2 linked regions of the Canis lupus familiaris genome follow. The protein of the gene in region 1 purifies or fractionates together with the protein of each later gene. This does not show direct contact. Links are inferred from orthologs where the notes say so. Each region holds a gene or a part of one and is shown on either strand. Other genes may lie near its edges.

Region 1 (8,244 bases):
GGGGCAAAACTGGCCCCAGCTGAAAGTCACTATTAGCTAAAGTGATGGGGCAGGGGCGGAGGGGAGAGGTTTTTGCAGACTAAAGAACATGACTTCCCGGTTCCAAAAGGTTCCTGTTACCATGTCATAAACATGTGGATAGTTAGCAAGCCAGATTTTTAGGGAGCCTGTGTGGCTCAGTCAATTAAGTGTCTGACTCTTGATTTTGGCTCAGATCTTGATGTCAGTGTCCTGGGATAGAACCTGGCCTCACAGTCCCTGCTCAGTGGGGATCTGCTTGGGATTCACTCTCCCTCTCCCTCTTCCACTCCTCTCTAAAATAAATCTATCTTTTAAAATTATAATAATAAAGCCCAAAATAGAGATTCATAAAATTATATAACTTCAAAACTAAAAAGAGCCTTAGGGATTATCCAACAAAATCGAACTCTCCTGTATTACATAGATGAAAAGACCAAAACTAAACTGCTGAAGTTGCTTGCTCAGAGCTTCTAAGTACAAGTCAGTGCAGGACAATTTAGGTCAACAATCATTAAAAAATATTCTTTGTGCAAAACTCCATCCTGGAACTATAAAGAGAAACAAGAAGTATCCCTACCTATCCAGAGTATACAAGCTAGTAAAGAGCACAGAGACATAACATGAAGCCACTATGAAGACAAGCATGCTAAAAGGAAGGAGGGATTAATTTCCTTCCTTCTCAGTGAGATCTGAGAAATCTCCTAAAGAAGAAACATCTGAACAGGGTTTTAAATAATTAGAACTCCTATATAGACAGGAAGTGAAGGCACAGGATGAACGCCAAGAAGCAAATAAATAGACAGCATATTCAGAAAAAGTAAGTAAGTCATCCCATACTAGGGTGGGATGATAAAAGATAAAGAAAATCTTGAAAAGCAAATTGCAGACAAATCCTAAGGAGCAGTGCCTCCCATTTTCTTCTTTAGCCCACCTGTTCATTCCCCTGACCCAGGAACTGGAAACAGCTAAATATAATGGGAACTCAGTAATAGCTTATAATGATAAAAAAAAAAAAAAAAAAAACAGTAATAGCAGCTAGAATTTAGGGTGGGATTGTTATATGCTATGCACTATGCTAAACACTTCGTATACATTACCTCATTTAATCCTCATAAAAAATCCAAGGCATAGGTACTAATATTACTCTCCTCGCATATTTAAATACAAAAACTCAGGAAAGATAAGTAATCTTTCCAAAATCAAACGGTTTAAAAAGTGGATTCACACCCAACTTATCGGTTTCCGAAAGCCTATGAACTAAGCCAAAATAAGTTCCAACAAATGCGCCAGATCATCAATCTCCAAATATCAACAGCTGTACTGCAGAAGAGGGGAAGACAGACAAGAAGAAGGTGACAGAGAAAGGCTCCTTGCCATTCCTGACTTAACTGCATTTCCCTAACGAAAAAACTTTTGTTCTGGGGTCTAAGAATACTCTGGAGAATATAGTATAAAGCTTTAAAATTTCCTATGACTAGGGCAGCCTTAGGCAAGTCATTTTACTTTGAGGAGCTTCAATTTCCTTGTCTGAAAAATGGGTGTAGCAATACCTACACTATGAAAGATGTTATGAGAATGAGATCAAGCATATAAGGCGTTTAACACGACGCTAGATACATTGTAAAGCGCGGTTGTCTCCGATACAGCCCCTGCTCATGGTAAGCAGGAACGAGAGGGAACTAGAAAAGTCGGACGCTCCCAACACCGTTGGGAAAAGCGTTAACCATGCTCAGAGACTGTCCAGAAAAGAGATTCACAATGTCCCTTGAATAACCGGTTATCCTGATTCCGTCGGAGCCATGCAGCACGGCGGCGGAAAGATGGAGTGACCAAGTAGACTGGCTGTCCCGTTCGTTTCCACAGCCACAGAACCTAAGGGCCGAGGGTGGCACACAGGCGCCCAGGAATTAACTGACAACCCGGTAAGGAGTCCTTGAGTCCTCTGCAACTCCGGGGTGAAAAGACTTACCCTAAGGCCAGCTTCCTCCGCAGGTTCGGCATCCATGATGCACCTGAAACATCAACACAAGCAGTCAGTTCCGATTTCCACCTCCATTCCCTCCTACGGCGCCTAAACCGCTCAGAAATCCCTACCCAAGCGCTCCAGCGTTGCCGCCGCCATCTTCCTCCCTCCCTCTACGGAAGCCTCCGAGTTCACGCACTGCCGGGACCACGCGCATGCGCAGTTCTCAGGTTGTCTGCCCCCGCGCGAGACCCGGCAGTACTCCCGCCCCGGGTGCCGTCCTGGGGACCGCGAACGCGCCGCCCGCGCCTGAGGTGTGAGCCGGACACCTTTGCCTGGGAGTGAGTGACTTTAACACAGGCCGAAGACTGAGAGTGTACGGACATTCATGGAGATCCAGAAAAATTGAGAAACCTCCCCTCACACGTGGCCAGAAAGAGTAGGACAAGAGACGGTGAACAAGCCACCTAACGTGGGTGGACCTGTTTCCTCAGCAAAACAGAAAAGCGGCACAGGCTTGTTGTGAAGATCACTAGAGATCGTGTGGAAAGCTCTTTCAAAGAACAAACAGCTCAAATATAGAGTATGATGTCCTAATCCCTATGCTAATCTCCAGGTTGATCTACAAGAGATAAATCAATACTCATATGCCGGGCAGGCGTTTCACTAAATCTGTGAATTCCTCACAGCAATCCGACCAGGCATGGGTTATCACCTTCCTGCAAGTGAGAAAGCAGATTGGGACAGGTTAAGGTATCTCCAACAACAACCGGCAAAACCACTGATTCAGCCTCGGCCTGGATGCCTCCCAAACTGGTGCCCCTACCCACATTCAAAAACATGCGTGGCCTCTCCCCGTTAGGAGAGATCTCCGGCGTCGTTCGTCCCCGTTCAGGGCTGCCACATACCCCAGGAGAGCCGGGGCGCGGAGCCCGCAGCTCCACACACATCGCCCTTCACGGAGCCGGCACCCCATCAAGTCACGCGATTCTGCTCCTCTTTGAGTCCGAAGACTCTAGGGCCAGAATTTCCTCGCGGTTGCAGAAACTAACTCTTCCGGTCTTTTTTGATTTGATTCGAACGTTTATCTTTTGGTTAACTGGCTTGTTGCAGGTCTCTGCAGAATCTCCGGAGCTAGCGAAGTACCCTGGCACAGAGCGTTCACAACTACTTGACGGAATAGTGGCTGAACTATTCAAAAATTAAAAACTTAAAACGGCTGGTCGAGGTGACTCCACTAGTCAGTCTAACGCTTTAATTAGTACTTTGCTGTGGGAGGTGAGAAAGCCTGACCCCCAGGCTGGGCTCGGCAGCACCGGGACTCCTGGCCCCGGGCGGCGGCGGCGGCAGGCAGAGCCCCGCGCGCGCGGCCGCCCCTCCCAGCCCGGCGGCGGCGGCGGCGGCGGCGGCGGCGGGAGCGGCGCTCGCGGTGCGGCCTGGGCCTCGGCGCGCGCCGTAGCGGCGGGCCCGGCGAGGCGGGGCTCCGAGCCAGCCCCGCCCCCTTCCCGGCTGCGGCGTGGGGCTGCGAACGGTCTGCTCCTGGGGTTCCTTCGTTCGTCCCTGCTGGGCCGTGATCATGGGACAGGAGCCGCGCACGCTGCCGCCCTCTCCTAACTGGTACTGCGCCCGCTGCAGCGATGCGGTGCCCGGGGGCCTCTTCGGCTTCGCAGCGCGGACCTCCGTCTTCCTTGTGCGCGTGGGCCCAAGCGCTGGCGCGATCCCTGGGACGCCCCCATTTCGAGGTAACTCCCCGCTTTGAGCCCCCGCCCTCCTGCCCTTGTTGGGTTCGTCGTAGGCGCCGAGGGAGAGTTTCTAGGCACCCTTCCCTGCAGGTGGGGAAACTGAGGCCCAGGTTGGCAGAAGGATACCGGGCTGAGTTGCGTCCGCGTCTCCAGGATTGAGTTACCATACCACGCTGTGGCTGCGCGGCCCCGCCTCCTGGCGCTCTCGCGTAGAACCGCTCGCTCCCTCGAGTTACCCCTTTATGGAGCCAGGCGTTGATAACCTCTGTGGCCTCCCTCCCCGACGCAGCGCACACTGTCCCCTGGGAGCCTCCCTGCGTTCCGGGGCTGTCTACAGCTCCAGGCCCTGAACAACGTCCTGGAAATAGATGATACCTGTTTCTTGAAGATGAATGAGTTGAGCCAGATGCTTTCAGGCTCCAAGCTAGGTTTAGATTTTGCCTTGGGACATGGCAAGCCAGTTATTTATTCTTTCCCAAATGACCTCTGGGCCACGTTTAAATAAGAATCACTTTTACATTCTTCATTTGAGCCGCTCCTCAGCCTGTGAACTGTGAACAACAAGGGATATCAGCAGCATTTTACGGCTGAAAAGAGTGAGGCTCAAGGAGATAAAATGACTGGGCTGAAGTCCCGTGGCAGAGCCAGAACCAGCACTTGGGATTTCTGATTGTGAGTGCCTGGATATTTTTGTTATGCCATGGGATAAGTGAAGTCCCACTCGTCTAACATCAGTATGATCCTCCCAGGAATCTTAGGTAGCACTCTAACCTGAAGTCCGGTTTTGCTTGAAGTCGTAGGGGAGTTGGTGGGACACACCGAAAGGGTCTCTGGCTTCACATTTTCTCATCATCCGGGTCAATACAACCTCTGCGCCACCAGCTCTGATGATGGAACTGTGAAAATCTGGGATGCGGAAACAAAAACAGTTGTGACAGAACATGCACTCCATCAGGTACTGTGGCTTACCGGTTTCTCAGACCATTATTATATATTTGCTGAGGGTTCTTTTGTTTCAAGTACGCTAACTCATCTGTGCAAGTTAACTTTTATAATAATGTCCATTATTTGGATGAGAAGCTCTATATTCTATATATAAATTGTAAGATGCCTCAAAACTTTTTTGGAAGGAGATACATATAAACCAGAGGTCAGCAAACTACTGTGCTGCCTGTTTTTGCAAATTGGTTTTATTGGAACACACCCTCAGTCATTCATTTAAGTATTGGCTGCTTGCATACTACAACAGCAGAGTAGTTGTACCAGAGACAGTATGGCACACAAAGTCTAAAATGTCTACAATCTGGTTTTTTAACATGGAAAAGACTCCTGACATAAACTGTAAATGAATGAAATTTGTTTCTAAACCAGATGATTACTTACTAAGCCTACCTTTTGAGAGAATGTAGAAAAGAAAAAGACTCAATCTTAGTAAGAACTTTCAATTAAGCTAAAGGAAGAAATGTTTTTAAATAGTTCTTTAATCCTTAGGAGCTTAAATTCTTCTACCATTTGGTTAATGTAGTCTTGGTATACAAGTGGTACTAACGGTATTTATTAAGTACATATCAATGTGCCTAGTATTATACAAGTTAAAAATGAAGTAAAAATTCAGCACTGACAAATGAAAAGCAATGTATTTTTGTTTTGTTTTAAAGCATACAATATCAGCACTGCATTGGTCTCCTCAAGTAAAGGATTTAATAGTATCTGGAGATGAAAAAGGAGTAGTTTTCTGTTACTGGCTTAACCGAAATGACAGCCAGCACCTCTTTATAGAACCCAGGACAATTTTCTGTCTTACTTGCTCACCTCATCATGAAGATTTAGTAGCCATTGGGTAAGTACTGTGTCATCTGTACTGGTAATTTGTTTTTGTTAATGAGCATATTTTGCATTTGCTTTATCTTCTCTTCCTTATTCCTCAGAGGAAGCCATGTATAGGTATTAACCATTCCCTGAGCCCATGGTATCATTTATTCCTGTGACTTCCAGGTCCTTACTGTCCTTCTCACTCTCTCTGTTTTTATTTCTTTAATTTCTACAATAGTGTACTTTCCTCATTCTTCACATCTGATTTCTTCAGCTAGCCTCCAAATGTAGGAAATACCCTCTTTCTCCCCTTTCCTCTCTCAATATTTGCTCTTGGAGATAACATTTACTCTCAGAATGTCAGAGGACTTAACTCTGTCCCTGTTCGCAGCTCTCCCTCTGGATTGGGACAGTAGTCTGGCATTGGGCGCTGCCTCCGCCTCGATCACCAGGATTATTTCACATAAACTGCCTGAATGGGCACCACCCTTTTCCTCACCGCTCCATCTACTACTCTCCCAAAGATGTCTTATCACTCTAGTTTGGATATTTGACATAAGCACTAGAATGCCAGAGGAGAAGTCTAGTTGGAGTGAATTCAAGAGACTGGGGTACAGTAGTCAAGATACACATGGAGACTTTTGTTTTTTGTACAAATGTGCATAGACATGAAGCCAGAGGAGGTACATGGTAGTAAAGGGAATATTAAATGGAAGATAATAGGGCATATTTTTATGCTGATGGAAGAGGAAAAGCTGGTTGCATGGAGAAATGGTAATAAATACAGGAGTGATATGAGAAGTCAAGAGGGATTGTATCCAGATCACAAGTAGAAAGGACAAGTGAGAATATGGAAATGGAAATAGTTGCAGGTGGGTTTGTAGATCTGGCTGGAAGAGGAAGGTGTTTGTTGTCGGGGTTTTTTTTTTAAGATGTTTTTGGGTTTTTTTAAAGATTATATTTATTATTCGTGGGAGACACAGAAAGAGAGGCAGAGAGAGGAGAAGCAGGCTCCATGCAAGGAGCCTGATGTGGGATTCCATCTTGGGAATCTGGGATCAGGCCCTGAGCCACCCAGTTGTCCCGAGGAAGGTATTTCATTCTGATGTCTTCTGATTTTCTCTGTGAATCATAAGTCAGAAAGGTAGAGTCAAATTCAAAGTGGGGCTGGGAGCACGCAGGAAGATGTAAAAATAGTCATCTCAGAGAATAAAAAAATGAGCTTACTGAGAGAAATTGTAGGTCCAGTGGTCCGTATTGAGGCCAAGCTCTGAATCAAAATCATGAATTCAAAGTAAACTATTCAAACTGAGAAAGGGTATGGTTGGATTTGACAAGATTTGAAGTTTTGTGGAGTAAATACTTCTGAAAGAGACAGGACAAAGCTGCTAAGGGTGTTTTTAAAGGAGTGATAATGAAGCATGAGGGGAAGGATAGGAAAACAGGTATGTGTGCGTAATAGTGAAAATGGGAGGAGTCTGTGGATCGGTGGTCTGCTGGGTGAAGTGAGCAGCGTTACAGTGGGAGAGCTAGAGGAAGAGCAGAATGGGTGGTAGGCAGGGATCAAAGAAGGTAGGATCAAACTGACCTTGAAAGATGAGCAAGAATCCACAAGAAAAGAAGAAATCTTTCAGGTAGAGGGAACTGCACAGAGGATTGAATCAGAATGATTTGTTTTTAGAGGCTCTTCCAAATGGCAATCATTTCCTGAAAGGCTGATTAAAAATGAAGAACAGCTTGGTCACTTGACTGTTAGGTTGCAAAACTTGTTGGGTTTTCGAAGTCCATGTCTGCAAAGATTGATGTATGATTTCATTTTTTTTTTTTTTTAAGTAAGGCTGTAATGGGAAAATGTTTTTAATAAAAGTTTCTCCTTTTATTAAAGGAGTGTAATGGTGTTTTTCCCTATAGGACTATCTAGTGTGTAGGAAATGTAAGGAGGTACACCCAACTTTGGAGTGCAGTTTGTACTTCTAGCAAAGCAAAGATGTATACATCTTACATCCTGGCAGTTCCACTACTATGCATTAAATCTGAAATTGTCTTAAGTGTGCATAAGATTATTAATGGCATTTTTGTTTTGTTTTGTTTGTAATAGTAATAAACGGAAGCCCTCTAAATGGAAAAATGAGTAAATTTGTGTTATAGTCACACAGTGGAGTGCCATCCAATAGTGTAAGTGACTGACTAGGAACCAGAGTTACATGCATCCACATCAATGACTCGCTAACAATAAGTGGGAAAAAAACAAGTTACAGAAAAACAGACTGCATGATACCATTTATATGAAGTTTTAAAATACACAGAATCATTTTCAATTGTCTTTAGGAACATAGACAAAGAAAGGCTAGGAATGATGGAACAGAAATTCACGAATAGCAGTTTACCTCTGGGGAAGAGAGAGAGAGAAGTTTGATTGGGGTGGGTTGTATAAAGGACTTTAACCATCTTGATAATTGGGTTTGTTTTTTTTTTTTTTCCTTTAAGCTGGTTGATAGATACTTCTTTATGTGTATGAAATACTCATCTATTTTTTTTTTAAAGCTATTAGAATTTCTCGGTGTCCTCTGAATTTTAAAAAAATGATAGGCTTGGAATATCCAGGTCTAGAAGCTGCAGTACTCAGTTTTTTGTTGAGTTCACAGTTAGAAAAATTACAAGGATTTTACAAGGATTACTTGTAAAAAGTGGGAGAGGTGTAAGTGT
Region 2 (5,155 bases), on another chromosome or scaffold:
AGGGATCCCCAAATTGACTACATTTCTATGCAGCAGACCTTGGGGTAGCAGGAGTAAAATTAGGAAGTAACAGCTGCTTTTTTGTTGATTTAGGGTATGGGTCAGCAGACTACAAACTATTTGTAAATAAAGGTTTATTGGTAACCAGTCAAGCCCATTTGTTCACTATCGTCTGTGACTGCTGTTGGTGTAAGGCAGTCCGGTAATTGGACAGATTGTAAGGCCCTCTGAGCTGAAAATATCTGTTGTCTGGCCCTTTAGAGACAAAGTATAAATGTGTGTGCTGATTCTCATTTTAGAGCAAGGCTTTATGTTTAACTGACATGTCTTGAATTCTTGAAGTCACTGGAGTGCTCTGGGCAGTAGTGATGGCTGGAGATCATTGTGCACAAACACTGCTGAGCCCAGTATGATGAGAGCATTAGTCACTCTGGGCTCTTGAGGACAGGGAGAGGGGTCTGAGACATCTGTCGCTGGCAGGAGCTAGCCCAGGGCCTGGCACGCAGGCTCTGCGATTGAATGGGTGGGATTTCCTTGCCTGAGAACTAATCTTTGCCCGCCTCCCCCCAGATACACATGGTCTACAGTAAGCGGTCAGGAAAGCCCCGCGGCTATGCCTTCATCGAGTATGAACATGAGCGAGACATGCATTGTGAGTACCTCAGGCCTGAGCCCTGCCCTCTGACCCTCTCTCTCTATGCTGCCCAGCCCCTTCCCGTCGTCTGTCCCCACCCCCCACCCTGCCAAACCTGACATTAGCGATGTCTCTTCTCCTCCTCCCTCTGTTTCTGATATATCTTTTTTTTTTTTATATACGTGTTTTTTAAAAAACAAAAACCAAAATCCCCCACAACGTGTGTGTGTGTGTGAACCTGGGGAGGTAAGTGTCACACGTTGAACCTCAGGGGCAAGGAGGGAACTGGGTGGGGGCTGGGGCCAGCTGGAGGTTGGGGGAAGGGGTCGGATGTTCGGGGAGCCTCTCCCCATTCCCCCCACCAGAATTGGGGGCGGCCAGGTTGGAATGAGGACTGGCCTTTGAACCTGCCCTCTCTTCCCCCCCAGCAGAGCTGGGGCTGGGCCACCCGACCCTCTGCCTCCCCACCCCTGGCCCCCCACCCTGTTCCTCAGCGGGCAGTGGGTTGGTAGGCGTGTTCAGCGCCTGCCCCCCCATCTCCAAAGCCCCCTTTGAGGCTGCGGCGGCGTCCACATGGGCAGGGATGGGTGGGTGGGGGCGGGCAGGGCTGCGGCGTGTCCAGGGGCCGCCGTATTAATTGACTGTTCTTATTGTCACTGCAGCCACCACGCAGCTGGCTTGCAGCTGATGCTTACGCTCCCCTTACAACACCTCAGTGTATGGTTGGTATAAGGGTTTGTATCATGGGTAAGATCACTCAGCACCGCACACCAGCCCAGCTTAGCCAGGCAGCTCAGGAGCAGTGAGGCGTCCCTCTTCCCATCCCCAGTCGCCCCCTCAGCCTTCCCGCACCCACAGCCCTTTCCTGGTTTGGGTGCCCCTTGTCCCTTCTGCCACCCCTTCCCCCCAATCCACATATGCTCTCTGATAATCTTGCTGATCCCAGGAAGGAAAGGATGAACCCTGATGGGAAAGGCTGCTGGCCTCTCCAACTGGGCTCCACCCCACCCCTGACTTACCTGGCTTCACGATGTCAGCGGCAAGGTTACAGGAATACTGAAACGGGATGCACGAGGGTGAGGGCTACGTGTGGAACCCTTCAACCCTTTGCTGCCTGCCCCCATTCTTCTGTGGGGCTGTCACTGTAGTGGCCCTGGAGAATCTTTTTGGTTGCTAGACTCGGGTTGCTGTGCCCATTTTCTGTCTGCCTTATCATGGTTGAGGCCTACCAAGAGGGCTGTGGTGCCCAGCGGCTCTGCAGAGTGCATGGAATTGGGGATTGGGGTGAGGGAGGGATTGAGTGACAGGCTGCAAGTAGCTGATGGTGTTGTAGATTTTACTTAGGACCCTTCCACTGTCTAGAGACCTAAGAGAGGGAGAGAAAGAGAAGCCTAGAAGTACACATGTCACATGATTTCTTTGTTGGTACTCCTGGGTTGGGCCTCTTCTGGGGTTTGGGACATTGAACCAGAGCAGGGTTCCTTTGCTTGACTGTGCTCCCGGTCCTTAAATCCCTTTCCCGTAATACCCTCCTCTGGGTTTGGGGGGGCCAAGTGGCCCCTCCTCCAGATCACGGGCAGCACTCCATCTCCTGGACCCCCCACCCCCAGGCTGTCCCTTATGTGCCAGCCTTTGAGTGGCAGGTGGTGGGAGGGAGTGTGGAATCCAAAGTGGAGAAGTCCTTCCATGTGCTGCGAGGAGGGTGGGGCGTGTGCCTAGTTCAGTGTGGACTTTACTGGGAAAGGTGAGGGCCAACAGTTTTGCTAAGGCCTCCCCAGCCTTCTTTTTAAATACAACAAGCTAGTTCCAGGGCATTACCAGCTCCTAGACTTGATGTTAATCCTTGTCTCCCCCTCTTTCAAGGCCTCCATGAGGTTTCTTTGGGGTCCACCACTGCCTCTGCCTGTCTCTAGGTGGTGCAGGAGATGTGGTTCCTCTCCCTCTCTGTGGCTCCCTAGAACCCCCCCATTTCCCTTCCCTGTAGCTTTAGCTGACCCTATGGTGGTGGGTGTGGGGTCTGTGCGCGTGCTCAGGTAAGCTTGGGGGCTCCAGGTAAGCGGTCCCGTGTCCCCCCCCGGGAAGCCCGCCTCCTCGCCAGGCCCCCAGGAGTTGCCGAGCCCCCCCCATCCCGCTCGGTTTGGACACCCGCAAGGCCGGCATCGGTAAATGGCACCTTTTTCTCTTCCTCTGGTTGTTATTTGGGGGGGAGAGGGCTGGGGCGGGGCAGGGTATTGTGGTTGGTTGAGGACAACCCCCTAGGCCAGGGCTGGGGGTGGGAAACGGACTTTTTTTGCCCTCCTGATGCCCCATGGGAGACAGGCCTGGGATTGGGCCTGCCCATCGCTGTGCCCTGCCCAAGAGCAGGAATATGCCTCTTCCTGAATCTCTCCCTCTACTCCTCACCCTTCCCAAGAGGCTCCGGCTGGGGTTGGCCTCCCAGCCCAGCTTGTGTTGAGCTGGGGGTGTGGAGGGAGAGATGGAATGGGGGCTGGGATTGGGTGGCAGTCAGTCGGCTCAGGTAAGGCAGGAATTGTCAGTAGCACCGCACGCCTCCCATACCTTCCTCCACTTTCCCTCTGCCCTAGCTGCTGTAGGGGGGCCCCTCCAGGCCCCCTGGGAGCACCATAACCCACCCTTCTGCTCCCTGTCATCTCCTAAAGATTTCTCCCACCCTTTTCTGGTTCATTTTCTGTTCTGATGTCTGTTCTCCCCACGCTCACCTCCGCCCCCCCCCCCCAAAAAAAAAAAAAAGCAAAAAGGAAAACCGGTGTGAACTGGGGTGCAGAGCGGCCCAGCTGGGCCTCCTCCCCCAGCATGATGTTTTAGGGTGCATGCCTGGGGTTGTGGAGGAGCCCTCCCCCACAGCAGAGTCCAGCCTTAAGTTAACCTCCAGTTTCTTTGCAGCATCTTTGGCCGCCTGGGCAGGAGGGGGCTGCTCCGTCGAATGGGAGTAGGGAAGGGCCTGGGAGCCCAGGAGAGGGTGGTTGGGTCGTCTTGCTCCCCACAACCGTCATTGGGGGATAATACACAGGTGCCGAGATGGAGCAGGCCCCTCCTGGTTTGGGAGAGGGTTGGTCTGGCTGTCAGTTTTGACTGGCTGGCTGGTGTGCGTGTGTGTGTGTGTATGCGCGCGTGCACGCACGTGTGTGTGCACAGTGTGTTGATGGGGACGTGAGGGTGGGGATGCTGCAGAGCTGGGCACTGTCCTGACTAGAGGACCCTCTGGGGACTCCTCCCCCTTCCCCCTCCCCGCATCTGTTGCAGCCGCTTACAAGCACGCAGACGGCAAGAAGATTGATGGCCGGAGAGTCCTTGTGGACGTGGAGAGGGGCCGAACTGTGAAGGGCTGGCGGCCCCGGCGGCTAGGTGAGCACTTCCTGCCCTGGCTGAGCCTTGGTGGGCCTGTACTCTCTTATGCATCCTCTGCTGCTTGCTGTCTTCCCTTCTCCTTTTTGCTTTCCTGGCCGCTCATCACGTCCTCCCTTGCTTCCTCCAGCTCCTCTTCTCTTGTCACCATCATTATCGTTCCTGGTGGCTGACTTCTCATTCTGGTTTACTGATTAGGAGTGGGAGCACTGTCTGGAGAGGCGAGTGTGGGATCAAATGTCAGCTTGTGTACTTACTAGTTGGTGGATTTCCCTGCTTCATTTTCCTTATTGTAGAAATTGGGGCTAACCTCAAGAGTTCACGGAGCTCAGCATACCAGATGCCTAGATGCCTAGCTTGGCATGTGGCATGTGACGGGGCTTGTAAATATCACTCTCTCATCTACTTATTCTTGATTCTTGCTCATTTGTTTATTCTTTGATTACCAGCTATGTACCACATTTTTAGTCAGGAGCAAGACAGATGGCCTGTGTCTCTCTCTGATTGTTACTGTGTTAAAATCAGTTTGGTTGTAAGTATTGGAAATACATTTGAGGTTTTTAAAACATAAAGGGAGCCTTATTGATAGAGAATCCTGGAGGTCCTTTGGAGGCCAGAGATGTGTGATGCCAGTGGGCCTCGAGGACCTGGTAGCTAGATTTTAAGCTTGTCAGGAGCCACCTTTGCCATTGCAGCAGCTTGCTTCCACCTTGTCTGCTGTCTGTGCAGACTGGTCTCTTCTGTGTTTCCCTGCACTGGCCCCATGAGTGCTACACCTAGTCTTGGTGAGTCTATACTTCCGGGGGGTTGGATCTGAGTGGCTCTTCATTGGGCCTGGACCTGGGGCTGCTGTCCTGCCATCTAAACATGCATGTTAAGGACCTACTCCTGCAGGGGTGAGTGACAGTTCTCTAAGAAAGATGGTCACCCTGGACTTGCCTGTGCAGCGTAGACCACACACTCACCTGCCGAGTCTTGGAACAGTAATAGGTTCTTATCGCCTTCATTTCTTGAGGGTGGAGTGAGTTTTTCATAGTCTGCTATTTTCTGTTGTAGAATCCTGGAATCGCAGAATCTTGTAGTTCATTTGGCATTCAGACTTTGGCATAGCAGTACTTACTACATCCTGACCCAGTATATATCTGTGGAAAAGTA

Evidence for each region.
Region 2: the proteins of GEMIN5 (region 1) and SNRNP70 purify together in Homo sapiens (affinity purification with mass spectrometry; 4 studies listed by BioGRID and IntAct, counting the BioPlex papers as one, with this or other methods). This does not show direct contact. The link is inferred for Canis lupus familiaris from reciprocal best matches to the Homo sapiens genes GEMIN5 and SNRNP70.

What each region holds. Positions count from the first base shown.
Region 1 is NC_049225.1:55,757,588-55,765,831, forward strand, and holds the start of GEMIN5 (gem-associated protein 5), read left to right. Parts: upstream 1-3,470; 5' UTR 3,471-3,560; coding exon 3,561-3,726; intron 3,727-4,520; coding exon 4,521-4,681; intron 4,682-5,384; coding exon 5,385-5,566; intron 5,567-8,244. Other genes in the region: MRPL22 (39S ribosomal protein L22, mitochondrial), read right to left, coding at 1,991-2,033, 2,116-2,143. UniProt on the Homo sapiens protein: The SMN complex catalyzes the assembly of small nuclear ribonucleoproteins (snRNPs), the building blocks of the spliceosome, and thereby plays an important role in the splicing of cellular pre-mRNAs.
Region 2 is NC_049222.1:108,017,718-108,022,872, reverse strand, and holds part of SNRNP70 (U1 small nuclear ribonucleoprotein 70 kDa), read left to right. Parts: intron 1-570; coding exon 571-652; intron 653-3,898; coding exon 3,899-4,000; intron 4,001-5,155. UniProt on the Homo sapiens protein: Component of the spliceosomal U1 snRNP, which is essential for recognition of the pre-mRNA 5' splice-site and the subsequent assembly of the spliceosome. SNRNP70 binds to the loop I region of U1-snRNA.